4 separate regions of the Mus musculus genome follow, and regions 1, 2 and 4 are each reported to be linked to region 3. The links are microRNA targets in miRTarBase. Many come from high-throughput screens and were not tested one by one. Region 3 holds a microRNA gene; each other region holds the end of a gene's coding sequence.

Region 1 (7,115 bases), not on the chromosome of region 3:
GCCTATGAGGCCATACGGGCACAGCTGGACCAGGCCCAAGAGCAGCTCAGTCGACTGGAGGGCGAAGCACAGGGTCGGCAGGAGCAAACCCAAAGGTGTGGTGAAGTGCCTGTGGTGAGGGTAGAAGGGTCTGTCCCCCCAACCCACATCTGGATCACAGCCTTCCTGTCCACAGAGATGTGGTTGCTGTCTCCAGGAATATGCAGAAAGAGAAACTCAGCCTCCTAAGGCAGCTGGAGCTGCTGAGGTGGGTCAGGCCTGCCTGGGCTAATGGGAAGTGGTTTCAAGTTTCCAGATAGTATTGGCTCCTACCCATGTTGCTGGAAGTCCTTATGTCTGCCCTATAGCCTTCATGCGGCTGGCTCTGTAGTCCTCTTGACTCAGGGAAGGCATCTCCCCCATGCACTTTTTCCTCTAGATCTTAGCCTCCTCGGTCTCCTACCTCTCTTTTCTAGGGAGCTGAATCTGAGGCTTCGAGATGAGAGAGATGCCTGTGAGACCAAGCTGCTGGGCAGTAGCCACAGGAAGGCTCTAGCTATTGCCCACAAGCCCGGACCCATCTACTGCTGCTGCTGCTGTGGCTGGGCTCGGCCCCCCAGACGAGGCTCTGGCCATCTTCCTAGTGCCCGATGACCAGCCCCGAGTGACTCACTTCCCTATCCAGAGGACTGCCCCTAGGAGGGACTGGTCTTGGTGGCGGATACTTGCTAAGTGTGTGGCTCTACCCAGAAGGCATCCCATGCCTGAAGGAGCTAACCTCAGAGTAGTCAAGGCCTTCAGTCCTTCAGTCTTTATCCTGTCTTCCTTTTTTTTGGGGGGGGGGGTTTCGAGACAGGGTTTCTCTGTGTAGCCCTGGCTGTCCTGGAACTCATTCTGTAGACCAGGCTGTCCTCGAACTCAGAAATCCGCCTGCCTCTGCCTCCCGAGTGCTGGGATTAAAGGCGCGTGTGCCACCACGCCCGGCTATCCTGTCTTCCTTAATCTTTGTCTGAAGGACCAATAAAGGCCATTGTATACTGTGTACTCCTTGGCTCTTGTGTGTTTGGGAGCCACGGTGCATTTGTGGTTCATGCTTGGTATCCATGGCACAAGGTGACATGGAGGGGTTTACAGGTGCACATTAACCCCTTCGTTCCTGCAGCTGGGGGTTCCTGTGTGCTTGTGTGTGTTCTGTGATTCTGGATATTCACCAAGCCCTCACCCATTCCTCCCAGCTGAAGCTCCCAGGACTCAGGTTTCAACAGGTGTCCGCTCCCACGCTAGTCCACACGTGGAAGGTCCCGCTCCTCACCTCCGTGGTCAGCTAGCTTTCTGGTCCAGGTCCTTTATCCATCATCCTTTGGCACAGTTCCTAGCCAGACCATATGCCACCCACACTGGGCACCTCTCGCAGGGCCCTCATGTCTCTATGGAATCTTCTGGCACCCTCCACACTGTATCTGGAGTTTCCCCTCTAGCATTTCTTCAGCCGCTAGAACCTGCAGCTTTAGAGTGGTTCTCCCGGCTTAGACTAGAGAAACTGGTCTTGACCTCAGTTCTGGACCTCTGGTGGGCTAGGTGCCACCTTCCCCACCTCTTCGCTCCCCACCTGGGTTCTACCTCTGGTCTAGCTCCTCTGTCTCTGGGCGAGTTGGGGCTTTTGATGACAAACGGGGCACCTTTAAACTAACTTTACAGACCCACAGGTCTCTCTGGCGCGCGCCTTAGCACCAAACCAGTTAGGACTTGCCTGCCCAGGCCGGCCGTGGGCGGGGCTGCGCCCGGGGCGGGGTCGCGCGCAGGGCGTGTCCTCGCAGGCCCCGGGCCGAGCGTTCTCTGTACTCCGAGTGATCGCTCCTACCGTGGCTGCCGGGGCTGGTATTTCAAAGCGTGGTTGGTGAGTGCTCCGTGAAGCATAGCCGGAGGGTGTGGGGAGCAGTGTCCTGAGTTCCTCGCTCACTGGTGTTCCTAGTCTCCAAGCTGGCCTCAGGGACGCCCAGGAGGCAGAGCCTGAGGTAGGACAGGGTTGCAGACTCCTTTCCGGAAGATCGACGCCGGGGCCGGGCAGTTAGAAGGCCGGAGGGGGAGGGGTGAGGGAGAGAGCTTCTGTGGTTCTTGAGCAGGCCTGACGGTCTCTTTCGTGCAGAAACCCAGAAATTTAAAAGTCTGACCACCCTATTCATTGTCCCTGGACACCGGTTCCCTCCCCTGAGACCGCAGGTCCGCCCACTGGCACGGGGCGGGGGAGGGCGGCAGGGGCGGTGGTGACTTCATCTCTGTGACGCGGGGATTCCTCGCCCAGCCCACTTCAGTGTTTAATCGGGTCGGTGGGGCGGGTGCCGAAGGCCCAGGACAGGTCCAGGAGCTAAGTGTAGGGCGGTTGTGTCCAGGCCGCAGGAGCTATTTCTGGCTGGTCCAGGCTCTCACACCGGCACTTTCACAGAGAATTTACATCCAGTCTGCTGATTGTCTCTTGGCTTAGGTTGATGGATGTGTCTAAAAGCCCATAGATTCTGGGCTTTTAGAGCCTGGCCCCGGGGGTTTGCATTGTGGCCAGGCTTCTTTATGTCATTGCCCGCTTTCAGTGAGGCAGCATGCATTTTTGGGTCCCATCTCCAAATAGAGCTCTGAAATCTCTCCCACTTTCCAAAATGGACAGTCGATGCATCCTCCTTCAGTTTGCGGTCGCTGCTGTTTGGTGGGGGAGGGACTGTGATGGATGGGACTGGAAGGTGGGGCACTTGGAGAAGGCATTTGGTCCCTCCCTAGATCAGGCAGGTCAGCCATGTTCTTTGGCCTGCCGCCGTCCAGTAGAAAACAGCAGGCCTGCCTGTTATGCTTCCTTGCAGATCTGGTGGCTCTGAGAACCATTTTGACCACTGCTTAAGCTTCTGTAGTTGGAGTGGCAAGATCCCACCTGCTAGGTGAAGGGCAGAGAGTGACTTTTGACCTGTACCTGCTGGTCCTGACTTGAGAGGTGAGAGCTGGTGCCTGGGCAGAGCCTCAAGGCCCCTGGCTAACAGTTCTGCTTAGGTGTGTGTCTGGGAATCTGACCTGCGTCAGCCGAGGTCTGTACACTGTCCTCAGTCAGACAATAGTGTGTCTAGGGCAGGGTGTGACTAGGGGACTCCTGGAGGAGTGGCACATTCACATATGTGGAACTGGGACCTCCCCCTACAGTCGGGAGGAGAGCTGGTTGTACAGGCTCCACCTACCGGCATCTTATTGTCTCTGCCCTGGCTGGTAGTAGAGTCAGCTCAGAGTCCTCACAAACTGTCCCTTAGGGTGGCCTGAGCTCTCTGCCATATCTGGGAACGGGTATGAGTGGTAAGTACCTAGCAGCCTGATTGTGGGACTCAGGGAATGCTTGGGGGTGCCGATCAACAGGAATGTACCCTGAAGGTCTGCTGGTGCTTCCCCCCCTGTTGCCAGCAGGAGTGAGTCAGCAGATGTTGGGGGGTCCTCCATGATAACCCACCATGTGTCTGGCTGTGAGGAGGTTAGTTCAGGAAGTGACTCATAAGGTTCCTGGGAATGCTCCTCTGAGGGCAGATAGCTGGCTGAGCTCCAAACTGCAATCATCCGGGGACTGCTGGATCTCCTCCTGTCTCCGTTGGTAGATAGCTTTCTTCCTACTTGGAGGCCTGGTGCTTCAGGCCATCTGACCTCCTCCCCGTTCCTCTAGGCCCAGGATGGGTGAATTCAATGAGAAGAAGGCAACATGTGGCACAGTCTGCCTCAAGTACCTGCTCTTTACCTACAACTGCTGCTTCTGGGTGAGAAGAGCTAATTTCTCCCTGCATCCCTAGTCCCCATGTTGGAGGCCTGGCCTGGGGGGCTCAGTCCCAGCTTCCAGACCCAGGCCAGATGTGGTGACCAGTATATACTTTCTGCAGCTGGCCGGCCTGGCTGTCATGGCAGTGGGCATCTGGACACTGGCCCTCAAGAGTGACTACATTAGTCTGCTGGCCTCAAGCACTTACCTAGCCACGGCCTACATCTTAGTGGTGGCTGGTGTTGTTGTCATGGTGACTGGAGTCCTGGGCTGCTGTGCCACTTTCAAGGAGCGACGGAACCTGTTACGCTTGGTCAGTGGGGCATGGTGGCACACGGTGGGGCTAGGGGTGCCTTGCATGGATTTCTCAGGGGGCCTCTGGTACTGGTTCTGGGGACTTAACTGGTTGAGTGTATTACTGCAGGCTGTCCCTGTTGGGGCAGACACGAGCTTCAGAACTATGAAGGAGCTAGGCAGCCCCAGAGTGTAGCTCCTAACTGAATTCCTCTTGCTTGGCCTCCTGGGTTGGGGGCTTGGCTTTGTGGTACTCTGGCACTAGCAACCCCCCACTTACTGGGTCCCTGCTCCCTAGTACTTCATCCTGCTCCTCATCATCTTCCTCCTGGAGATCATTGCTGGCATCCTGGCCTATGTCTATTATCAGCAGGTAAGGGCCTGGACAGGCCATGGGGTGTGCCTAGAACATGGCCCTGTCAGTCCCATTGGAGGTCCTGGCTCCAGCTTTGCCTTTGCCCAGAGTTTGATCCTACCCACAGCTGAACACAGAGCTCAAGGAGAATCTGAAGGACACCATGGTCAAGAGATACCACCAGTCAGGCCACGAGGGTGTGAGCAGCGCTGTCGACAAGCTGCAGCAAGAGGTGGGTGCCCCTAGAACTGCCCGCCCTCTCGGCATGGTGCCGTGTGCCGGCAAGCGCTGAGGCTCAGCCATGTGCCCCTTGTAGTTCCACTGTTGTGGCAGCAACAACTCTCAAGACTGGCAAGACAGCGAGTGGATCCGCTCTGGTGAGGCAGACAGCCGCGTGGTTCCTGACAGCTGCTGTAAGACTATGGTAGCTGGCTGTGGTAAGCGGGACCATGCCTCCAACATCTATAAAGTGGAGGTAGGTGGGTTCTCAGCAAGGGGCGGGGCTAGGCCGGACTGGTCTTCAGGCAGCCTGGCCCACCACCCTTCTCTCCCACTAGGGTGGCTGTATCACTAAGCTGGAGACCTTCATTCAGGAGCACCTGCGGGTCATTGGGGCGGTGGGCATTGGCATCGCCTGTGTGCAGGTCTTCGGCATGATCTTCACCTGCTGCTTGTACCGAAGCCTCAAGCTGGAACACTACTGACCACGATGATGTCAGGCCGGGCGGCCAGCCTTGCACTACTGACCACGATGATGCCAGGCTGGGCGGCCAGCCTTGCACTATGTCCCAGCCCCACTACTGAACACTACTGACTTAGACTGCTGACTGCCAGAGGTAGCTACCCTCATGCCATCGCCATGACCCCCCCTGGCATGCCACCTCAGGGGCATGCACCTTCAAGTGCCTTTCACTGCACACCAAAGTCCCAAAGCTCGAAGCAGCGTACTTGCCCCAGCATTAAGAAGGGGGGGGGGGGTGGGGGGTTCAAATGCCAGTGTTGGGCTAGGCCTGGCTAGTAGAATAGGGTTTAGATTATTTGACAGAAGTGCCTCTTATGCAGACTGCTTCCCTTTGGGTAGCTGTGATCTGCAGTAAGTCTGGGGAGAACCTGAGTACACCACTACACGTTGGGTAAAAGCAGGTGGGGCCTTTCTGGTTGGATTAGGCACCCTTCATGCCTGCTACCAGGAACTCTCAGATCTGCTTGCCCCAAACAAATGGTGTAAGCTGAGGGAAACTCCAACCCCACACTTGATGCTCTGTCCTCTCCACACAGGCCTCTTGCTCCTAACAGCTCAGCCCTGGCCTTTTCTCACTACTGATAGCATCATGTAAATGCTCCATGTTCCTGTACACTGTCTCCTTTTGGAGCATCTCTGAATGGAGCATGGCTGTTTTCATCTCACTGCTGTATTCCAGATGCTGCCCACAAATGCTCCTGCTATGTAACAGGTGCTCAATAAATGTAAATGTATAAGCACTCGAATCAGCTTGCTGACAGGACCTTATGGTCCAGGGTAGCTGGAGTACTCACAAGAGTCAAGGTTGGTGAAGCCCAATGGCAATTACAGTTAGGGTGAGCACTGGTAGCTGGAACATCCCCCCAGCCCACTGTGGCCTGGACTTGTCCATGCTCAAGGAAGAGTCTGTAGGCCTTGCTAGGGTCAGAGGGCAAGGGAGGCACCAGGGCCTGTTGGGGATGCCCTGGCTCCTGTTTCTCTGGCTTTAGCTCATCTAAGCAGCTGAGAAGAGGTCCTAAGCTGATTTTGTTCCCCACAGTCTTCTGTGCCAGCTGGAGGAGGCCACTATGGGTTCTCTGGACTCTAGCCTAAGGCAAAGCCTTTTTCTTTTTTTTTTTTTTTTAAAGATTTATTTATTAATATATGTAAGTACACTGTTGCTGTCTTCAGACACTCCAGAAGAGGATCTTGTTGCGGATGGTTGTGAGCCACCATGTGGTTGCTGGGATTTGAACTCTGGACCTTTGGAAGAGCAGTTGGGTGCTCTTACCCACTGAGCCATCTCACCAGCCCGCCTTTTTCTTTAAAACAACAAAAAACCAGGGGTGGGGTAGGGTGGGTATGCTATGCCACACACACCTTTAATCCCAGAATCCAAGAGGTAAAGGCAGGCTGACTGTTGTGAGTTTCAAACCAGCCAAAGCTGGTCTCAAAAAACAAAACAAAAAAACCCACCAAAATTCTCAAAGGGATCAATGTGCTAGAAAGAACCCGGGGTACTTGATGCAGATGCCTAGGAGCTAAAGCACTACACCACCTCCTTTGGCCTAGAGTAGGCTTCTTAGGACTACATGCTGTGGGGATTGGGTCAAGGGGCAGGGCTGCCTAGCTGTCGGGCCTGGGAAGATTCTGGAAACAAGATCCTCAGGCATGGGCAGCAGATAGGCTCACACAGCTGATGGGCTTTAGGACCCAAGAAATTCGTGAGGCCTGTGGCCTTGGGCGTACTCCTACAGTATCTGGGTTTGGTTGGGTGGCACAAGCCGTCCTTTAAACTCAACACTCGGGAGGCAGAGACTGATCTCTTTAGTTCAAGGCCAGCCTGGTCTGCAGAGTTGAATTCCAGGATAGTCAAGGCCAAACAGAGAAACCCTGTCTTGGAAAATGAAAGGTAAATAAATCTGGGTTTGATTCCCAATACCTGATGGCAGCTTATACATTCTATAACTTTACTCTCAGGGGATCTGGCC
Region 2 (7,115 bases), not on the chromosome of region 3:
CGCCATTCTGGGTGTCTTCCTGTACAACAAGGTGAGCATTGGGTGCTACTGTCCCCTAGCAGGCACACCCTTGGGACAAGGAGCCAAGGGAAAGAGAGGGGAGGGATTTCTAGCTGTAGGTCCCAAGGGTGCCTTACAGGGTGTGTGGGTTGTACGTGCTAGACAGAAGAGTGTGGCAGTAGGCGTCTAAGCACAGGCCTTCTAGAACTCACTATCCTCCTGCCTCTACACCCTGATCTCTAGGGCAATCGGTGCAGAGGCCAGAAGCCTTCTTTGTGTCTTACTTGTTTTAGAACAGTCTTGTGTAGCCCAGAGTGGCCTTCAGCTTCTGACCCCCTGCTCCACCTCCCTTGGAGTAGAATGACAGGTGTCTGTATCTGTATCTGTATCCTGGTTTATGTAGTGCTGGAGATGGAGCCTCGAGCATATATCTTGTAGACAAGCATTCTACTACAGAAGCATCCCTAGTCCTTGGTTTTAGGGTGACCTTTTTTATGCTGATGTTCTTCCCTCCCCTCCCCTCCCGGTGACTTCTCTTCGTTTTTTTTTAAGTCTCATGTAGCCTGGGTTGGCTTCAAACTTACCATGTAGCTAGCCTTATACACCTGCCCTTCCTGACTCTGCCTCCATAGAGCTAGGATGACATGCCCCCCCATACCCAAAGTTCCCTTGTGCTTTTCATTGCTCTCTTCACACAGACCAAGTATGATGCGAATCAGCAGGCCCGGCGCCATCTTCTTCCCATCTCCACGTCAGACCTGAGCAGCAGAGAGCACTTGCGGAGCCCAGTGGAAAAGCCCCACAATGGTGCATTGTTCCCCCAGCAGGGTGACTTCCAGTACCGCAATATCCTCCTCACAGACCACTTCCAATACAGCCGCCAGGGCCACCCAAACTCCTATGCTCTCAGCCGACATGATGTATAGGCCAGGCCAGGCCTTCTGCACCCCCTTCTTGAGCTCAGAAGCTTCAGAATATTCTGGCAGCCTGACTGAGCACATGACACTTGGTGGGCCATCAGGGGAGCTCTGGGTCCTGGCCCCTGGCCCCTGATGGGCTGCAGGATGTGATCATAGCATGGACACCCACAAACTCGGGGCAGAAAAGAACCACAGAGAGACCCTGGTTTACGCCTCCACTAAGAGGCCACTCTGCATTTGTGTACAGGGTTGTCCCTGGCATATTACAGAGGTCTGATCTGAACTTCTGGTGAGAGTAGGGACATGCTCTACAGAACTGGCACCTCCTGGCTGCAATCCTGGAAGCCAACAGGAGATGGCATCTGGGATATCATGGAGAGGACAGCTGGGATACAGCCCAGAAGGATGGAGGGCTGACATGGGTGGCATTACCTGATCCCACCAATGATACAGAGCCCTAGAATACCCCAAGGCAGTTGGCCACTTGCAGCTAGTGCTGCCCAAGGGCAGACTTATAGTGACCATCAGCCCATCAGCTGTGACCTTCCTCTGCCTTGTGGGTGCCAAAGCAGGGCCTGGGGGGCCCTTGGACTCTAGAGGAGCAGCTTGTCTGCTCCCCACTCTCCTGATGGCACAGAAGGCCAAGGAGTGGTGATGACAGTTTCCTCAGAACCTAAGTTTCTCTGGGGAACATCTTGTCGGCCATGGGATGGAAACCATCTTGTCTCATTTCAAAATATGGGATGTTTGTTGCTGGAGCCAGTCCCTCCCAGGTCAGTGGTAGCAGGCAATGCCGAAGGGTACTGAAGTTGCAGCCACAGAGGTAGAAGGAGGTATTCATACCCGAGTACAGTGTTGCTTGTCAGTGAGGAGACCGCATGTGTATCAGGGTTTTAACTGTGCTCTGGCAAATGGGACACCAGGCAGGTCTTGGTTTTTTAGTTAAGAATCACTTTGAGGCTGGGTAGAGTGCCTGTCTAGCATTCGTGCAGCCTTAGATTCTGTCCACAGAATGCCACGCAGTGGTACAGGCCTGCCTGCCTTCCTAGCACTCTTAAAGCAGATTCAGGAGGATCTAGAGGACAAGGTTCTCTACAAAGTAAGTTCCAGACCAGCCTGGGCTTCAATGAGAAGCTGCCTCAGGAAAATGATCAGTTTAGGGACCTGCCATAGTGGCATATATCGAGGGGCTGAGGCAGGAAGATGGCCATGGGTTTAAAGTCAGTCTGGGTTACATAATGAGACTCTCTCTGAAAAAGTTGAGGGGCTGGTGGCCCATACCTATGGTCTTAGGTACTCTTGAAGCAGAAGCAAGAGACTTCCCCAAGCCTGTGAGCTCAATGCCATTGTGGCAATTGACAGCAGGTAAATGATAGGAAGGGGTATCAATGGGTCTCAGGGTTTTTTGGTTTTGAGAGAGGGTCTTATAATATAGACCAGGCTGACCTTGAACTCATGGGATATATCTGTCTCTGCCTCCTGAGTGCTTGGATTCTTTAAAACCATGGGCACCACATCCAGATGGAGTCATCCCACTAAGCCTCCCAGGCTGACCTTAGCATTTGTGCCTCCTCTGTTGCTAAGAACTGAGCTCACAGGTACATCATGGCACCCCAGTCCTTAACTCCTGATTTGTTGGGTCCCTCTGCTTTTGATTACTTGGGGTTTTATATTGAAGGTTAGGGTTTTTTGTTTGTTTTGTTTTTCGAGACAGGGTTTCTCTGTGTAGCTAGCCCTGGCTGTCCTGGAACTCACTCTGTAGACCAGGCTGGCCTCGAACTCAGAAATCCGCCTGCCTCTGCCTCCCGAGCACTGGGATTAAAGGCGTGCGCCACCACTGCCCGGTTTATCATATTAGTCTCCTGCTTGCCTGAGACTTGGCACCCCCGGCCTCAGGACAGTCCCGTCTGCCTTGCCTAGTCCTAGCTGGTTTGCAGAAGAAGTCCCTTGGTAAGGCCGTCTGTTGGGTTCTCCTCACTGGGGAAGGCTGGCCTGAGACACCTGTCACTGCAGAGGTCTCTATGGGTGACCCTGACTCAGCTCTGGACTCAGAATGAATTATGTCTTTTAAGATTACCAAGATGTTCCTATAATTTGTGTATTAATGCATTTTTCCTTTTTCAGGGAGCAAAATGGCCCGTCTCACTTTTCTTAACGGTTTATAAATTAATAAATGGGATATTTAGTTCTGTTCATAGGCTCACAGCAAGTATGAACACTGGAATGGATGAGACAATCAGGGTAGACCAGATTCTCGGATCAAAAGACAAACAGCTGGGGCTGCCGCTCTGGCTACAGTGCTTACCTGCATGCATGAAGTCCTGGCCACCCTCAGCACTGCATACACGAATGTTACTCCATTACTCAGGAGGCTGAGGCAGTTAGGATCAGGAGTTCAGTGTAACATAGTGAATTGGAAGCCAGCCTGGGCTATATGAGAGCAACAACAAAACAGACTTGATCCACAGTTTACATCTGTCCATTCAAAGTCACATTAGCCCTACTCCTGTGTCTTACATCCCACTACATTCACCTCTCCCTCTCCAGGACTGACCCGATCCACCTCTGTTGGGGTTTATTTGAGAATTTATGTTGCTGTTCCCACGTACCCTTTGAAATTGCTTAGCCAAAACGCTGATCCTGACCTACCCAGCTCCTTCATTTTACAGAAGAAGAAAATGAGGCTTAGTGGATGTCTTCTCACTATTAGTGCACTTGGAGCTTTTATTTATTTCTTTGAGATAGTATCTGCCTATTTAGACCAGGCTGACCACAGAATAGAAGGCACTCCTCCAGCCTTAGCCTCCGTGCCTGGAGGAGCTGCCATACCCAGCACCTTAATTTATGTCATTTATTCTAGGGAAACCCAAAACTTTCTTGACAGAGTAGAGGAGCCAGATGAACTAAGGCAGCAAAATACATGGAACTTGATTTCTCTGTATGTTGGGAGGACTCCAAGCAGTGAGCTCTTCATGGCTAGACCCCAGCCCCAAAACCTTGGGTCTGAAACAGGAAACCTGTCATGCTCTTGCTTTCCATTGTCATCTTGAGGCTCCTGTGTCATAGACTGTACTATGGGAGTAGCTGTGCTCCTGGTTGGCATTTACCAAAAATAAATGGTGGTCTCCAGGGGTTGGAGTTTGGTTCTGGTTTGTCAGGGAGGGTCTTGCTCTGTGCTCCCATCAGGACAACCCACAAAAATCCAGGGCTGGGAAGATGGCTTGGTCAGCCTTTGACTGGCAGATATGGAAATCAAGAGTTGGGATCTCTACAACCCCCAAAAGCTGGGCAGATCCAGCTCCACCTGCCATCCTAGTGGGAGAGTCAGGTAAAGGTTCCAGGATCATGGGCAAGAGCTTACTATTGGCCAGGTTCATCCTGAAACCATGCCTTATGTATAAGGTGGAGGGCCAGCAAGATAGCTAAGTAGGTAAAGGCAATTACTGCTGAGCCTCAAAATGTGAGTTCAATTTCTAGAACCCACATGGTAGGAGAGAACCAACTCCTGTAAGTTGTCCTCTGACCTCCACATTTGTGTTGTGGCATGCACACACCCACACAAAAAATTTTAAGTGTGCTAGGCACAGCCTTGCACACCTTTGGTCCCAGCACTCAGAAGGCAGAAGCAAGTGGATCTCAGAGTTTGAGGATATATATATAGAGAGAGAGAGTGAGAGAAGCACCTACACACAAACAAGCACAAGTGTCTACACACACAAATCACATGTGTATGCAAGGCAAAAAGATTGTTTTTGTCTTTTTTTTTCATGCCTGGGTGTCTAACGAACTTTGAGTGTATTTGCATGCGAGTGTGTGCTTTCATGTGTGTATACATGTGCATAAGTGTATGTTTGTGTATAAATTTACTGTTGCTGTGGCTCCTATAGCACCTCTATGGCTTCAGCTACCTTATGCTGCACCAGGATTCTGTTCCTGCAAGAGTCCAGGTCCAGCTACACTCCTAAAGGCCAGTCAGAGCACCCATTTCTATAGCTAACCTCTGCAGCCCAGACTGACCTCTATTGATCCTCCGCCTCAGGCTGAGGTGCAAATTTCCTCCTGTATACTTGGAGGCTGGGCCAGTGAGCCCCATGGCTCCTCCTCCTCCTCCCTCCCCAGCTCTGGCATGAATATGCTTCACTACCCCTGGCTTTTTATGTCTTCATGCCTTTGTAGCAAGCACTTGACCTCTATAAGTAGCTGGGCAACAACAGGCACCTGTACATGGATGTGGAGGCAAGAGGCTAGCCTCATGTCCTTGTGTGCCAATAGGTCTGCCATCTTACTTTTTGAAGCAGGGTCACTCACTGAACCTGGAGCCCCAGTCATCCTCCACTCTCATCTCCCACAGCACAGATATGACAGTCCTATCCAGTTCTGGCTTGGGGGGGGGGGGGTAGAATCCAACTCTTAGCCACTCAGCCCAGCCTAACAACCCTTTTCATTTTTTTTAAGGTTTATTTATGTATGCCAGTACATTGTAGCTGTACAGATGGTTGTGAGCCTTCATGTGGTTGTTGGGAATTGAACTTTAGGACCTCTGCTCGTTCTGGTCAACCCTGCTTGCTCAATCTCTGCTTGCTCTGGTCCAAAGATTTATTTTATTATACATAAGTACACCATACCTGACTTCAGATGTAGCAGAAGAGGGCATCAGATCTCATTACACTCGGTTGTGAGCCAATGTGGTTGCTGGGATTTGAACCCGGGACCTTTGGGAGAGCAGTGAGTGCTCTTACCCACTGAGCCATCTTGCCAGCCCCAGCCCTTTTCTTTCTTTCTTTCTTTCTTTCTTTTTTTTCTTTCTTTTGTTCTTTTCACTCACTTTGTAGACCAGGCTGGCCTCAAACTCAGAAATCCGCCTGCCTCTGCCTCCGGAGTGCTAGGATTAAAGGCGTGCCACCACGCCTGGCTGCCCTTTTCATTTTTAACCATTTATTTATTGTATGGGACGCGGGGAAGGTTACACATCCTATGGTGCATGTAGAGGTCAGAAGGCTACTTATAAAAGCGAGTTCTCCCACTAAGTCCCAGGTCACCACGCTTAGTAGCAAGTACCTTTACCCACTAGGCAATCTTGCTGTGTTAAGACAGGCCTCAAGGAGCTCAGGCTAGCTTTGAATTCACTGTGTATCTTCTGTCTCTGATACTGGTGTTGGCCACTGAACTGGAGCCATGCCCTTCAGTTCTAGGAGTTATGTGGCTGGCTGTCAAAACAGCAGGAGACCCTGGACCTCACACATGGTAGGGAAGCACTTCCAGCCCTGTATTTCTGGCTGCTTAGGTTTCCTCTGTATTTTGGAGGATTCTGTGAGCAGTCAGGGAAGCTACCACAGTGAAGGGACCAAATGCAAAGCTTTGGTCTCAGCCTCAGTGTATGATTCATTCAGACTCCCAAAGGGGCTCAGTAGGTAGGCAAGAGCCAGCTGAGGAACACTGCCAAGGGGCTTGAGGGGCACCTTACCTAGGCAGGATCTAGTTGCCCAGCCTTATTAGGGAGGTGGCAAGAGATGGGGCCAGGTGTGGGAGGGGGTGTACCTTTAACCCCAGTGCTGGGGAGGCAGAGGCAAGCAGGAGCACCTCCCTCAACAAATAAAACAGAAGAAACTTCTAAGAATAGTCACCCTCTGAATGTTCTACTGGCCCTCTCATTTTGTTTTGGTCTTTTTGAGACATGGTTTCTCTGTGTAATAGCCCTGGCTGTTCTAGCTTTGTAGACCAGGCTGGCCTTGCCTGCCCTGCCTTAGTGCAAGAATTAAAAGTGCGTGCCACCACCACCTGGCTCTCCTATTGCTTTTTAATTTTGTGTTTTGACTCATGTTATTAAGTTACCAGATGCCCTGGAATTGGAACTGCATTTGTAGGCTACGAATGTAGGTGCTTGGAATCAAACTAGGGTCTTCTAGAATAGCCAGTGTTCTTAACAGTTGAGCCATCTCCCCAGAACCCCTCTCTCACTTCCATTGCTTTAAACCAGGATACTTGGGTGTCCCTACTGAGGGACTGAGAGGTGCCGTTGGAATTCGTCAAAAGACCCTCACTCACAAAGACCACAGAGACTGCCATCGCTGCAAACCGCATGAGGATTTTTATTGATCCAACATGTTGGGGACCCCCGCCCCCTTCTCAGCACGTAGGCCAGTGGAGAGACCCAGAACAAAGAACACACTTTTTATACCTTTGTAAGGGGCAGAT
Region 3 (7,115 bases):
TCTTTTTAAAAATAAGACTTCCTTACCTACACACTCTCTCCCTACTGCACAGCACCCCCCCCCCCACACACACACACACACTGGCCATACACAGAATCCTATAAAAGGCTGCTTTTGGGGATAGTTGGAGCATTTGGAATCTAGTTGAAGTAGGAAATTCAGACATTATCTGATGGCCCAGGGCATACAGGTTTGGTTTTCTTTCCCCAGAAGAAAATATTAGACCATTTGTTTCTTCCCCAACCCCCTTCTTTCATCCACCCGGAACTGCTTGTAAACACAGTGCTATAGAAGCACATTCGGAAACATATTTTCAAAAACTCGCTTCTCCTGGCTCCTCAGCTTCCCTCTTGAAGGCTTAAGGGCCTCCTCCACACATCTCCAGGGTGGGTAGTTTAGGAGGGAGGAGCTCAAAATCCGGAATAGGGCCAGAAAGGAGTCCACAGCTTTCTAACCCAGTTCCCTGAAGCTTAAGACTATTCACCATCTTAAGGTTTTTGGCACGCAGGTGTCGGTTATTTTCTGCAGTCCATTCCCCGAACAAATAAATATTTAAGCAAATATAAACTAAACATAAAATAACCCGTTTCCTTCTTGGATTTATTTCTTTGGGCATGGGCCACTGGAAGCAAACAATTTCTTTCTTTCTTTTTTTTTTTTTTTTAAATCACAGAAGAAATTCTATAGATAATCCAGAAAGTTCTGGGATTCTGGCTCAGCCTCTCCTGCTTGCACTGAAAGCACCTAGCACTGGCTGGCCTTCTGCCTCAACTCCCCCACAGTTACTAAGCCACACAGCTCCCTGAAGGGGGTGGTGTGGAGGAGACCATCCCGGTTCCCACTGGGGTAAAGCCTCCAACCTTCATTTGCAAATTCAATCCACCAGCAGAGATTTTCAGGAGTTTAATGACTCGCCAAGGGTTTATGTTCTCAGTAGCTCCTGCCATATGATAATCTACTTAAAGAAGCCCGCCCACCCTCCCACCCTTCCCCACTTTAGGGAGGGGGCTGCCCTCGGGCAGGAAGGTAACCTAGTCCGAGGGCGGCCTGCAGGTCCCAGGTCCACCCCCACAGTACCTTAGAGCCCAGTGAGGTGACAGCAGGCCCCGCCTGCACCCGCAGCTTCGCCTCAACCTGGAGTGCAAGAAGGGATAGGCCCAGGGTCCCCACTTCTATAAGGTCGTCAGGTCCGTATGGTGGTCCTTGGCCATTGGCTGCAAATGCTGGCCCGGGGCAGCTGAAGAGGAGCAGGAAGATGAGGAAGAAGACCTGCCCTTGGTGTTGGGCAGTTTGTGGTCTTTTTTCCACTTCATCCTCCGGTTCTGGAACCAGATCTTGATCTGGCGCTCAGACAGACACAGGGTGTGAGCGATTTCAATCCGACGGCGCCTGGTCAGATACCTGTTAAAATGAAATTCCTTTTCCAGTTCTAGGACTTGCTGTCTGGTGTAGGCCGTCCGGGAGCGCTTGGGCTCCCCGCCGGTGTAGTTGGGGTTCACTATGAGACAAAACATACAAGACAGCCAGGTCAGAGCCCGGCCACTAGTTAGGCCCCAGGCTTGCCTCTGCCCTCACTTCCTGGCGCGTCTCGCAGCCCTCGGGCCCCCCCTGTGCTCCAAGCTGGCCAGCTTCCTCCCTCCCGCCCTCTCCCTAAACATACACACACTCCCACCCAAGCCCTTCCATGCACACACTCCCCACGCTCACAGGTCCTCCTCAAAGGTTCTCCCTTGCCACTGGCCCACCAAGAGCTCGGTATCGCCAACATTTTGGAAAGGTCCTTGTTTTGCTCTGCGTTCCCTCTGCTGTGGAAATGGAGTCCTCCCCCCACCCCATCCCCATCCCCACCCCCTTTTGCGCCCACAGCCAAGCAGCCAGCCACATGGTCCCGGCCTGCTCCCTCAGCTATAAAAATTTATGGAGAGAGTAATTGCGGCGCCCAAGGAAGCTGCACAAGCCCCTACCCATTCGCAACCCCTGGGGTGGGGGGTGCAGGCCAAAAGATGCAAGGAGTGGTGCGGGAGGGCTGTGAGGTCGCTGCCCCCACTCCTTACCCGAATTCACGTGCACCTTCTTCATCCAAGGGTAGACCACAGCGGGCTGCTTGAGTGCTGTCCCGGGGGGCGGCTGCTTGGGGCCGGTGGGCTGGCTGCAGGCCCGAGCGCCAGGCAGGGGCGCAGGCGGGGGCGCTGGGCACCGCTCTCCCGGGGCACCGTAATGACTTCCCGGGCCGCTCGGCTCCTGTCCGTGACCCCTCGCGGGCAGCGCTGAGCCAGGCCCGGGCCCGCCGCCTCCGAAGGGTTGCTCGCCGAAGTCGGGCCGTGGGTAGAGCCCCGAGGGCTGGAAGTCGGCGCCCTGTGCACCGCTGCCGTAGTAGTCGGCTCCCTGCTCGCCTAGGTAGCCACCCTGCAAATATTCCTCGCACGGAGGAAACTTGGGGTCCACGTACTTAGAGTTCACCATATACGAACTCATGGCCATTAATTTCAGAAGGTAGAAAATACTAATTTTTCTCGTGTTGTCTTTTTTCTCCTTCCATTGGGCCCTCCTACTTGCTGTCAACTGAATAAAGTTGGGCGGCCATGTGACCAGGCCAGCCAATAGGAAGAAAGCATGTTTATCACCGGGTTGGTGAGCATCTCATAATTTTCACAAATTTAACTAAATAACATACGTGTAATCAAGTGACTTGCCATGCCACATTTGAGAGTCCCTGACAGATGCTAATAGAGTTCTAATTCTATCCCCGGGGTCCCAATTTCCGGCAGGTAATCTCGGCTTTTGTCTTCCACTGACTTTGCTAACCTCCCATGCCCTCCTTACTCACCATCGCCTGAAGCAGCCCCCAGAATGGACATAGTTCAAAGAAGAGTGAATTCTCCTACTGGGGTGCAAAATAAGGAAGAATGAGTGTGGGCAATGTGGCCTCCGAGTTGGGTAGAGTCCTAGGCAGGCAGGCAGGCTGCCCGGCCAGCTGGCAGGAGTCCTGGACTCTGACATACAAAGACCTGTCTTGGCTTTGTCTTCATCAGGGTCACCCAAAAGTTACCAGAATCTGGCGGACCTGAATTGAGTTAGGCAATGAGTAACCACTATGCTTTTCTGCCAATGCGCAGGCTGGGGTGTTTCTAGTTGAAGTTGGATCTTTCTGCAGGAGGCCCTCACAGTTCTGAGTCTGGTGGCTGAGGGGTTGGGTCATATTGGGATGGTGGGGAGGGGGACCTTAACCTTGCCTAAATGTACCCCAACGGTCTCCGATGGCCTATCTTTCAGTTTGTCTTCTTCCCACACAAGGGCAGGTGAGCCCCATTTGGGTACCTTTGTGTCTCATGCTCCTTCAGAGCAGGGCTTCTGCTGGAGCTTTCTGGCCTTTCACCTCACTCTCTAATACCCTAAAACCTGGCTCTCTGGCTTTACACTCAGACAACCACTTGAGCACCTACTGGAATATCTATAGGAGTTTCTCCAGGAAAAGGCTGTACAATTTCACCAGGCAAAGTCGATCATCCTGGAGTCTAAGGTAATGAAAAAGAAAGAGGTGGCTTGCCGGCTGGGCTGCCAGTACTCTCCGCGCCTCAGTCTCTGGCCATGTCGGAGATATATGAAGTTTTTGCATCGACCATATATTCCCCTAGAATCGAATCTGTGACTATGTGGGTACCACACAAATTCGGTTCTACAGGGTATATATAGACAACGTTACAACCTCGGGTCCTACCCAGAGCAGACATTCAGGCAGCTGCCAGACCTGATCTCTTCAGCACAGCCACCAGGAACTCACCAAGCCTGGCTTTCAGAGATGGTGCAGGTAGGCTCGGTGCATTTCTAAGTATTGCTGCTCGCTACAGCAATGAGTTCCCTCATCGGCTTGCCAGGATGGGGGCCACCAAGTAGCTGAGCAGCCAGGACCTTCTTCTTCTTAAAAAAAAAAAAAAGAAAAGAAAAGAAGGGGAGTTTTTTTTTCACCCCAGAGATGGCGGCTTAATTGCCCCTTCTCAGAACCCAAATCTCCCGCCCCCTTATCAAGTGGTATTTCCCAAAAAGAAGCAAAGGCCCTCAGCAGCAGAAAGGGAGTTTTGAAAAAGGCAAAAGGAATAGTCTTCACCAGAACCTAAGCCAAGTGAGTGGTCACAGCTAGTCCTCCTAGAATTCGAGCATTTACCTTTCTGGGCCCTCAGCCCCGCCGGACTTTCGGATCCCGCTGCTGCTGCTTCTGCTGCTGCTATGACTGCTGCTGCAGACCCGGAGGCAGGCGCTGTTTGCGGCCACCGAGCCTCCCTGGGCTGAGACTGTCGAGCTAATGGTGAAGGGCAGGGCGAGGGGTCATTCGAAATCATTTACAAACATATCACAAAGTTTCATTATTTTTGCTTTGCCGACAGCAGCACAGAAGAGTACAAAAGTTCGCGAATTTCGCCGCCCCAGCGCCTCCGCTGTCCTGGGCTTGCCCCTCAATTCAGGGCATCAAGAGCCCAGATGCACTCTGGGGCTGGGCTGATTTCAGGGGCAGAGGGATGCCCTGGCCTGGGCCGAGCTTATGGATGCCTGATAACAGATTGAAGATGTCCACATTTCTAAGTATTGTTTTGATCCCTTCCTATATAATTCGAAAAATCACTTTCAAGCCCCATGCCTTGATTTTGATGGGGTGGGGCAGGGAGACTCCCCTCATCATATCTGGCAAAATTAGGTGCTCACTTTGACCCTGTACTTTGCCCTTCCATGCCCTCCCACCATCTTTCACTTCCACTATTTTGCAGGGATTTCCCAGGTGTCAGTTCTAAAAAAAAAAAAGGGGGTTAAAATCCGTTTGTTTAAAGACTCTCCCCAGTTTCTCCTAATGCCAGCCCTTTCACCCATGGACACGTTGACAGGCCTTTCTGGGGACACTGGGCCTACCTCTGTTTTACCCAGACAAATTGGGGAAGTCCGATGGGTTGAGTGAGGACCAAGATGAGTACACACATTTTCATATTTGTTAGACATTGTGACCTGCATTTCACCTTATTGCTCGACTTGTTCAGACAGGTCAAAGCCAACAAGTTATTGATGAACAAAAGCGTTAAATATTCACCTCCCTCTCAACTGCCCATACAAATGCTTTTGATCTCTCCGGCTTTTTGTGCTGTGGGCAGCTACAAGGCGCCAGCAAGCAAGCAGCCTCAGCAGAGATGAGCCCTCACAGCCAAGGGTGCCAAGGAAGAGGGCAGGGGCAAGGCCAGAGAAAGTCTGGGGAGTCCAGATTTTTCACCATGGAGCCTGGTTCACTGTGTGCAGGCCTGGTTCATAGAAGGAACTACAAGCTGTAAAGGTCTTCACTTCCCTGTTAGCTCAGCCTCACCAGGGGCCCAGCAAAGAAACCTGGCCCTGAGCCCAGTCTCAGCTTCTCTGACCAGGAAGGGAAGACATCTCACAAGAGAGGGAGGATGCCTGGTCCCTGTGGTCCTTACCAATCTGCTACTGTTCCATTAAAATTAAACTACCTGTGGTTTGCAGTGAGTGGCAAGCCTCTACTATTTCCTTGACTCTCCTTCTAGTGCCAACCCTTCTAATGACACCCAGAAGATGTCACCAGCATTCTCAGCTTCAAACTTCAGAGCCAAAGAACTGGAGTCCCTGCCTCTGATCCCACCCAATTCCACTGGACTCTGGAGTAGAGTAGAAATTCTTCAACTGCAGCTAAGGAGAAACGGAGGGAAAGAGAAAGTACTCTTTTTGTTCACCGGGTATCCCAAACTGGGACCCACACCAGTGAAGCTAGGACCCAGAAAGGGACAGGAGAGGAATGTCTACATAAGCTCAGAAGTTGTAGCCCTTCCTGGAAACAGGCCAATCCAACACACCCAAGACCATCAAGGGTTATATGTTTGTTTTTGTCTGTAATAAATCAAATTTTAAATTAAAACCTATATACAGCAAGAGAAGGCTGAGATAGACTGGGCAGAGAGAATAATGGCTGGACAGCAGAGAGGGACCCCCGTTGCCTTGGTGTTGATTGGGTCAATTCTAGCAGTTGTGGATGCTGGCCCGCCCGTAGTTCAGTTCGTTGATAGGGTGGGCTGCTAATTAGCTGCAAGTCTGCTGCACCTGTGCGAGCCAGAGAAGCCTGGCAAAGGCCTGTATGGTCCAGAGAGGTCCGGGAAGACAAGGGCGGTCCCCTGCGGTGCGTTTACTTGAGCAGGTGACTGTGAACTAGGTCCCAGAAATACTTCCTAAAGGGTCAGCCTAGAGCTTCCATCCCTCCACGAAGCGAGTCCGTTTTGGCCTGGGGAGGCAGCGCCACTCCGCTACTCCTTAACCCTCCCATCACCGCTGGCGCGGACCTTCCGCCCACCTCCTCCCAGTCTTAGCACTACCCTTTCGTTCCTCGGAAGAAAAGGGAAGGTACTTACAGTGGTTCTCCCTCGTTCTCCCTGACGCTCCAAAACCTGTTGCAATGAAAGTGGGGTCTCTCAAATTTCACAGGACAATAAAGCATCCATAGGCGACATGCAGAACGTGACAAGGCCCAGACATTCCACCAATACCTAGAACTCCTTGCTTCTGGTGACCGCCTTCGGGTACTGCACAAAGTTTTCCTCTGATAGCATCCTCAAAGGCAGAGCTAAGGGCTATGGGAGTCTGTCCTGGTCACCTACCCTACTTCACGCACCCTTGGGCAAAACCCAACCAGTTATACGGCCTGACTCAGACTGCCTGAGGCAGGGTTTCCCCAGGGGGGAAATGGGAAGTCAGAAAATAGGCCTTTGTGCATTTCCTTCTGGTGTGGGAGGGTGGGTGCGAGCCCACTGGTGAGAGCCTGCAGACATTCTATTTGTCCCGACCCCAATTCTGCTCCCTCTGGAAACAGTTCAGACCTCCTTTTCCAGTTTCAGGTTGGTTTTTAATTCCACCCCAGCGTCCAAACCTGCATTCTCCTCAAAGAGGAGGCATGGCAGGCAGGGACATATTTTTTTTTTTCCATGTCTCCAATTCAAAACAGTCATTTCCTTCCGAGGGGAAATGAGAACCCAAAAGATAACCAGAAAGGGAAATTGATGTGTTTAAAGGAAAATGATCTAGATCTTACAGACATGGTCTAAAATATGATCTCATTCTATCTGTTTGACATTAAT
Region 4 (7,115 bases), not on the chromosome of region 3:
CTTCTGCAAGGCTCTGCCACCTGCCTCGACTTGTAAGTGGCCGGTCCATCTGTGGCGATCTGCCTGGGTCCTCCTTTTCATCTTCTGTCACCCACACATCAATGCAGCTGCTCTGACAGCTTTACAAGGCAGACAGAAGTCCCCTCAGGAAGGGGACTCTGATACCTGCTTCCTAAGTCAGTTTCCTTCGGGGCAGACAAAACCAGCTGTGGCCATTGTTGGGGGTGATCTATCTCTCCTACCAGAGCTGTGAAGTTGTTAGAAGCTGGCCCTTTTGTCTGTGACCTCCAGTCTCCTTTTCCCCTGCTCTGGAATGTGGACTGTTAACCCTGTCTGGGCCAGAAAGCTTTCCTATTGCTCCAGACTTGGGAGAGGGCAGCTCCTGGGCCCGGGATTCTGTGAGCACCATAATGGTTCTCACAGCACCACCTGCTGATGGGAGATTATGCTGGCCACCTTAATGATGCGATCTGTCCTTGGAACACTTCCGCCACCTGCTGGACGTAACAGGAAAAATCAAGCGAGCAGAGAGTGGCCAGGCTCTAGATTTTGTTTATTTGTTATTTTATCTGTAATTGAAGTAGTGTCAACAAGAAAAAGGGTATACAGAGAAACTGAGCTTACCAGCCTATCTCTCTGGACCCTCCTCGGCCCATGGGTAGCCCTGCCTTTTCACAGGATGGCTCGTGGTGCCTGCCGTCGTGCCTGCCTTCTGTTTGGGGGCCTGGTTTGCTCGGTTTGGCTTTTTTTTTTTTTTTTTTTTTTAAGATTTATTTATTATATGTAAGTACACTGTAGCTGTCTTCAGACACACCAGAAGAGGGCATCATATCTCGTTACAGATGGTTGTGAGCCACCATGTGGTTGCTGGGATTTGAACTCTGGACCTTCGGAAGAGCAGTCGGGTGCTCTTACCCACTGAGCCATCTCACCAGCCCCTTGGTTTGGCTTTTGTTGTTTTCTTTTTTTCTTTTTCTTCATTTGAGGTTAAGTCAGTAATCGATGCTTTTACTCAACACAAAACCCTTATCATTTCCCAAGGTTAAGCTGCAGTCAAGCCCCAGGGTCTCAGTGGATCCCTATTGACTGCAGTTTAGATATTTCTGTCCCCCACCCCCACCCCCACCCCATGCTCTCAGCGAGGCCGCTCACTATAAACACTCTTGTGTGACATAATGGGTTTGCTGTTTGGTTTGGTTTGGGGACGACGGTCTTGCTGTACAGCCCCAGATACCTTCAAACTCGCCATCCTCTTGCTCCAGCTTTCCAAGTGCCCGTGGCTATAGGTGCACACCACCACACCTGGATAGGTTTTTTGTTTTTTAATTCTTCTTTTTTTTTAATATTTTGAGATAATTGTAATAGACAGTTCTTGAAATAATTCGGAGGGATTTTATGATCTCCCTACCCATTTCCCCTCCACAGCTCACCAAAGATGCCAGTCCAGCACCACAGCCAGGACGTGCAGTGCGCCGACGCCGACACACTCACATCCATCCTTACTTACCTAGGGCTCTCTCATGATGCCTGCGGCACGTGCTCATGCATCCGCTTCTACACGACCTTACCACGAGACTCGCCTGTCCGCCTTTGGCCCCAAGGATCTGCCCTGATGTCTTTTTTCATTATTTCTTTATTAAAGTTTTTGAAACAGGGTCTCATGCACCACAGGCTAGCTGAGGGCTAACCTTGATCACCTCCCGGAGGTGGAGATTAGAGGTAGCTGTCACCACAGCCCGTTCTTTCTGTCGCTTTTTGATGGAGTTGTCCACATGTCTCACTCACCCCAGCTCTCAGCTCACAGCAACCACTCATCTAACCTTGATTTACATCTTTTTCTTTTCAATTTAAAAAAATGTTACGCAAATGCAGCCAATGCAGCCAATACCTGGGGCCTTCTCTTTTCACCCAGCATAATTCCCTGGAGTTGTCCAGTAGTGGGTGCAATGACTGGTATTTATCCTCCTCTAGTGTCCTGCAAAGAATTTTCACTGCCCAAGTTCCCCGTGCTCCCCCTACTCATCCCTCTTCCTCCATCCCAACCCCCAGCACACCCTGAGTTCTTTTCTGTCTCTGTAAGTCTTACGTTAGCCAGAACACCATGAGATGGACTTACACAGTATGCCAGCTTTCCAGAGTCGTACCTCCAAGGGCTAGGTTTTAGGAGGTTTTTAAAGGCTTCATTTTATTTTTATGTGTGTATCTGTATGTGGGTATGTGCTAAGAGCAGATGCCCATGGAGGCCAGAGGTCCTGGATCCTCTGGACCTGGAGCCACCCAGTATAGGTTCTGGGAACTAAACTCAGGTCCTACCCAAGAGCAGTGTGCACTCTTAGCTGGAACCCTCTCTCCAGCCCCTAGGTGATTATTTTTAAATGTTAGAAAAATGCTGTACTGGTGTGGTGGCATGTGCTTTTAGTCCTAGCACTTGGAGGCAGGGACAGGGGCAGGGGCAGGGGCAGGGGCAGGCGATCAGAAGTTCAAGGCCAGCCTGAGATCCTACCTCAAAACTAACAACAGCACCACCACAGCAGTTATAAAGCACACATAAAAAGCCCAAACACACAAAAGGAAACACAAAACAGACGTCTTTGTAATGTAAGACATTTATTTTGGTTACAACTTTAGAGTGCGTTAACACTGGTGGTAGACTAGAGGCTAAACTTTCCTTTTCCTCCCGGATGGCAGGACCTCCCATGCCTGGCAGGTGACAGTGCTCTGCCTCACCCCACCATCCCCTGCCCTCTGAGCCTCTTCGGTCCACTGAATCACTTTTTACGGAGTTAACCTAACGCTGGCAGAGGAAAATGGAATACAAGTTAAATATCCAGCTATTCTCTCTATGCTACGATCAGGACAAAGCCTGTAAAAGAATTATGAAAAAGACAATTTCCTGTGAGAAAATCTCTTATCCTCGTATTATAAGATCAGTGCTTCTCTTGATTAAAACATTTAGCATCTTAAATACTATAAGCAACTTAAGGTGGAAAGGCACCCGCCTCAACAGTGCCCCCTGCTGGCCATGGCATTATCCACACCCACTTGGGGGTGGCGGGTGTGCTAAAGGCCAAGTGAGAATTCTTAAAATAACTTAAGAGTGCTGGAGCCCAGAAGAGCCTTAGTATGGGCCAAGAGTTCCCTCATTTGGTAAGTGTTAGTCTGTGCTCTCAAGACAATAGAACAGCAAAGAAACAGACCTACCCCTGGAAAAGGCAGGCAGACTTTAGAAGATTGAGAAGAGAAACCATTTTTATGTTTGTAATTTTTACCTGGATGTTTATAAGTCATAGAAAGTGGCTGGGTCTGAGGAAGAGGTTGGGGGGGGGGGGAACACCCTTAATTCCTATTCCACCACTTTCCATGGATAGAACACTATCCAGGATTCCCAACCCCACCCCCTACTCACGGGCAGCCACGGGGTTGGCTTTTCCACAACATCGGTATTTTACCTGAAGAATAGTAGCTAGTTTTATAAACACGAGGCAAAGCCAACCAAGAACCGTTGTACTTTCAGCCCTAATGGAAAGCCAGGAATCTCCCAAAGGCTCTTTCTTCATGTTCCCACAAAGAGGTTTCCAGTAGGTGCTAGTGACTGTCCTGTGGCTGTCCTATGGGGTGACCAACCCAGAAGAGGCAGGGGGAGGGAAACCCACCCTCAGAGTGGAGAGTTCAATGCTATGTGTCACCATGTGTTACCTAGACAAAGAGAGACTGTGTCCCAATCGACTGGGGAGCCACAATTTTCACTTCCTTCTCTGGAGATGGCTCAAAGTCATGTGCACTTGGACACTGTTGGGGGCAGATTTCAGGTCCAAGCCAAGAACAGCCTCAAGCAGCAGGCCTGAGACTGCTTCTACTTAGCTTTAACGAGCTGGCAACTCTTAATTATCTTGAACTTTTTTTTTTTTTAATGGAATCTTAGTTGGGCAGTGGTGGCATTCGTCCCAGCCCTCAAAGGCAGAGTCAGGCAGATCTCTAAGTTTGAGGCCAGCCTGGTCTACAGAGCGAGTTCCAGGACAGCCAGGGCTACACAGAGAAACCCTGTCTCAAAAACCAAAGCCCAAAATCCAAAACCTAGGATCTTGGGACCGTAGCCCTGGCTGGAGTCTCGATACGTAGACCATGCTATCCTTGACCTTTCGGCGGTCTTCCTGTCTCTGCCTCTCATGAACTGGGCCTGTAGACATTGCAATCATGCCTGGCTAGCCCAGATGTTTTTGGTTTGTGGTGTTTTGTTTTGTTTTGTTCTTTCCTCTCTTTTCCTCTCTCATAACACATGAACCAGTTCTGTCAACTCTACAGTGTTATTTTGAAATGCACATTGTATTGAGCAAGAGAGCCGCTTGGAAACTAAAGACTGAGGTACACAACTTGGCTATGGTCACTTCATTCTGGGCCAAAAAAAAAAAAAAAAAAAAAAAAAAAGGATGACCAGCCCTATGTGACCAGGGTTGCTGTGGTCACACAGAATAGGGGACAATGACCATCCAGGCTGCACAGCTCTGCTCCTGCTGTGATCAGAGGTCTTTACCCTGGGAGTGACATCCTAAGACAGGTCTGCTTCTCCTGCCTCTTGCAGCAGCTCTGGAAAAGGCATGTTCCTTACCTTAACCATGAACACTGCTGAGTCTTACACTTAAAGCTGAATTTGAAATATTCAACAAAAATCCCTGATATTTCTTTCCCTCCAAGGAAGGTTTCTCTGCAAACTCCTGTAAGACATCCTACAGGCAGGCAACCAGGCTGCTGGGATCCGGGTGCCCCACGACAACAACTCTCTCTATACACGGGGTACTCAAACAGCTCTGGTTCTCATAAAATGGGCTTTTATGAGACGCCTATGTGCCGGGTGCTGGGGTGGTGGCTGACGGCTCTGCGTGACCCCGGAGACATACAAATAATGAGAACGTGAAGTCCCAAGAGGATTATGTTCAATCTCTGGCAAATGTGCACACATACAAGGTCCAGCGAGGTTCAAAAACCACCCTTAGAAAGTTCTTTTAAAGGCTGTTTCTTTCTTTGCTCTCTCTCTCTCCATTCTCATGGTGCCGCCAAGTCTCGTTTCTGTCCAGCGAGTCAGTTTCAGGATCCTGCACAGACACCGTGGAACCAGCAGAGCCTCCCGTAAATGGCCAGGGTGAGCAGAGGGGCCTTTCATTTTCCTTCTGTCCCCAAGGGGACAGGCACCCCTTCCAACATATGCACCCGTGCACACACCCACGGACATGAGCTGCAATTGGCTAGGTTCCTCCTCCTAATTATTCTTAGAATAGCAACCAGGATGGCAAGCACTTGGCGTGATGACTTGAACTCACCAACACTATAATTCAGGATAAAATCCTTGCAATTCTCCAAATGGAGGTCCTTTGTTTGTTTGTTTGTTTGTTTGTTTGTAATAGGCTGGACTTTACACCCTGTATTCTGAAAAGGGGGAAACCCTGCCCAAGGCATCGCTCTTCTAACAAGCAAAGGAACAGAGCCATCCTCAGGGAAGGCTCTGAAGCAGCAGATATAGATCGTAAGCTCTCTGGCAAGGCACACTTTAAACATTCCAAAGAATCAAGATAGCCTCTGGGAAAAATGGATTTGCTTACCCAAGGGCCCCTATGTAGTATCTTTAATTCTAAGGAAATAATTTTAAAATGCAGCCTTTTTTTTCCTTCTTTTTGGAAATCTAGTCACTAATCTATCTCCACTCTGCTTCAGAACTTAATGTCATTCGTCTGCCTCAGCAGGGCGTGTCGGGCTGTGAGGACCAGGAACAGACATGGGGAGGTCAGGGCCTGTGTTTGCATAGTTCCTTTACCAGGCTCGTGGTTCTGGACCACACAGGAAGAACCCAGGTGGGGGAGGGGTCATGAAGAGTGCCCGTGTCCCGGGCCATGCACCCTGATAGCCCTCCCACCCTGGGTCACTGAGATGTATCTATGCCACAGACAGGGACATAAACCTGAACCTCACCTCAGGGAGAGACATAAATTACAGGAAAGGATGGCTAAGGAGCAGAACTTCTTAGGGAGCTTCTTCATGTGCTCCCTAAGGGTGGAGTGGCCCCCGAGGACCAGAGTGGGACAGATGTGGGCACGTGTCTGGTGGTGCAGGGAGTGGGTATACTGTGTTTCCTAAACATGGCTGCCAGGGCCCTCCCAGTCAGACCTCTGCAAAAGAGGCTGTGGGCACCCTAGAGTTTCACCTTGCCCTCCTTGGCTAGTCTGTCATTGAGCTGGCAGAGTTGGGCCAGGAAGCCATCGTTGGGGCCGATCTCACGATTCTGCCTCACAGTACTCAGAGCAGACTTGACGTCCATCTTCTGCCGCATCATGAGGTAGGCGATAACTAGCGTTGGGGAGCGGCTGTAGCCCTCGCGGCAATGGACAAGCACCCGGCCTGCAAGAAACAGGGGAGACGTGGTAACTGTGGAAGCCCAACTTCACTGTAACAGTCAAAGTCTTCCATACAACAAGCATATCACCATGCACCCACCCAGAATGACCAGGGACAGCAGGGTGTCAAGAGGTTCTCCACCGCGGAAAACTGGCAACAGCTACTCACGTTGAACACCTGCGCCCCCTACTGCCCAGCAATGGCATGCTGGGAATTGAACTCAGGACCTCTGGAAGGGCATTCGGTGCTCTTAACGGCTGAGCCATCTCTCCAGCCCCCTAATAAGTCTTTTTAAAAAAGAATTAATGATCTAGGTAGAGAGTAGTGAGAAGGCTCAGTGGGTAGAGGAGCCAATGTCAAGCTGATGAGTTGAACTCCAACCCCGAATCCACATGGCACTGAGAACTTTCTGTAAGTTGTTCTCTGGCAAACCGAAATAGCTCAGTTGGGAGAGCATTAGACTGAAGCTGTTCTCTGGCTTCCACGCTCATGTCCAGTCCAGTCATCCCTTCACCTGCAGCATGTGCGCTTCCCCGCCCCCATCAAAGAATTAATGATCCAGTCAGGTGTGGTAGTACACATCGTAATTCCAATACTCTAAGAGGTGGAGACAGGGAGTCACTTTGAACTGCAAGTGCAAAGCCAGTTTGGGCTATGGAACAAGCCCCCACCTCAGGGGAAAAAAAAAGAATATGGAGATGTCTCAGTGGGTAAAGGCATTTGCTGCCACA

The links. Region 3 holds the annotated microRNA mmu-miR-10b-5p (UACCCUGUAGAACCGAAUUUGUG, at 3,664-3,686, opposite strand). A microRNA usually pairs through its seed, bases 2 to 8, with sites in the 3' UTR of a target mRNA and lowers its output. Matches are read on the target gene's strand: a 7mer-m8 pairs with bases 2 to 8, a 7mer-A1 pairs with bases 2 to 7 and ends in A, and an 8mer does both.
Region 1: the mRNA of Cracr2b is a reported target of mmu-miR-10b-5p. Seed matches in the 3' UTR shown: 7mer-m8 at 832-838.
Region 2: the mRNA of Slc35e1 is a reported target of mmu-miR-10b-5p. Seed matches in the 3' UTR shown: 7mer-m8 at 1,164-1,170, 7mer-m8 at 2,631-2,637 and 7mer-A1 at 3,158-3,164.
Region 4: the mRNA of Dusp3 is a reported target of mmu-miR-10b-5p. Seed matches in the 3' UTR shown: 7mer-m8 at 5,412-5,418, 7mer-A1 at 4,529-4,535 and 7mer-m8 at 4,039-4,045.

What each region holds. Positions count from the first base shown.
Region 1 is chr7:141,465,591-141,472,705 of GRCm38, forward strand. Cracr2b (calcium release activated channel regulator 2B) reads left to right here. Exons shown (of 10, transcript NM_001025103.2): 8 at 1-95; 9 at 176-247; 10 at 456-1,012. The coding sequence ends at 633. It overlaps Cd151 (CD151 antigen), which reads left to right and starts at 1,772. Exons shown (of 8, transcript NM_001111049.1): 1 at 1,772-1,876; 2 at 2,829-2,956; 3 at 3,665-3,755; 4 at 3,876-4,067; 5 at 4,347-4,421; 6 at 4,531-4,635; 7 at 4,720-4,878; 8 at 4,961-5,891. The coding sequence starts at 3,672. The coding sequence ends at 5,107. Polr2l (polymerase (RNA) II (DNA directed) polypeptide L) reads right to left here. Exons shown (of 2, transcript NM_025593.1): 2 at 6,270-7,115. Gm10575 (predicted gene 10575) reads right to left here and starts at 2,181. Exons shown (of 2, transcript NR_152219.1): 1 at 1,292-2,181.
Region 2 is chr8:72,477,577-72,484,691 of GRCm38, reverse strand. It overlaps Slc35e1 (solute carrier family 35, member E1), which reads left to right. Exons shown (of 6, transcript NM_177766.3): 5 at 1-31; 6 at 699-6,697. The coding sequence ends at 926. Among named protein-coding and RNA genes, the nearest start is that of Cherp, 5.9 kb to the right of the region's middle.
Region 3 is chr2:74,722,645-74,729,759 of GRCm38, reverse strand. Mir10b (microRNA 10b) reads right to left here and starts at 3,690; the gene lies at 3,623-3,690. The region is part of intron 1 of Hoxd3 (homeobox D3); the gene reads right to left. Hoxd4 (homeobox D4) reads right to left here. Exons shown (of 6, transcript NM_010469.2): 3 at 6,393-6,428; 4 at 3,782-4,297; 5 at 2,055-2,884; 6 at 600-1,498. The coding sequence starts at 2,481. The coding sequence ends at 1,173.
Region 4 is chr11:101,968,553-101,975,667 of GRCm38, forward strand. Dusp3 (dual specificity phosphatase 3 (vaccinia virus phosphatase VH1-related)) reads right to left here. Exons shown (of 3, transcript NM_028207.3): 3 at 2,591-6,387. The coding sequence ends at 6,182. Among named protein-coding and RNA genes, the nearest start is that of Sost, 5.1 kb to the left of the region's middle.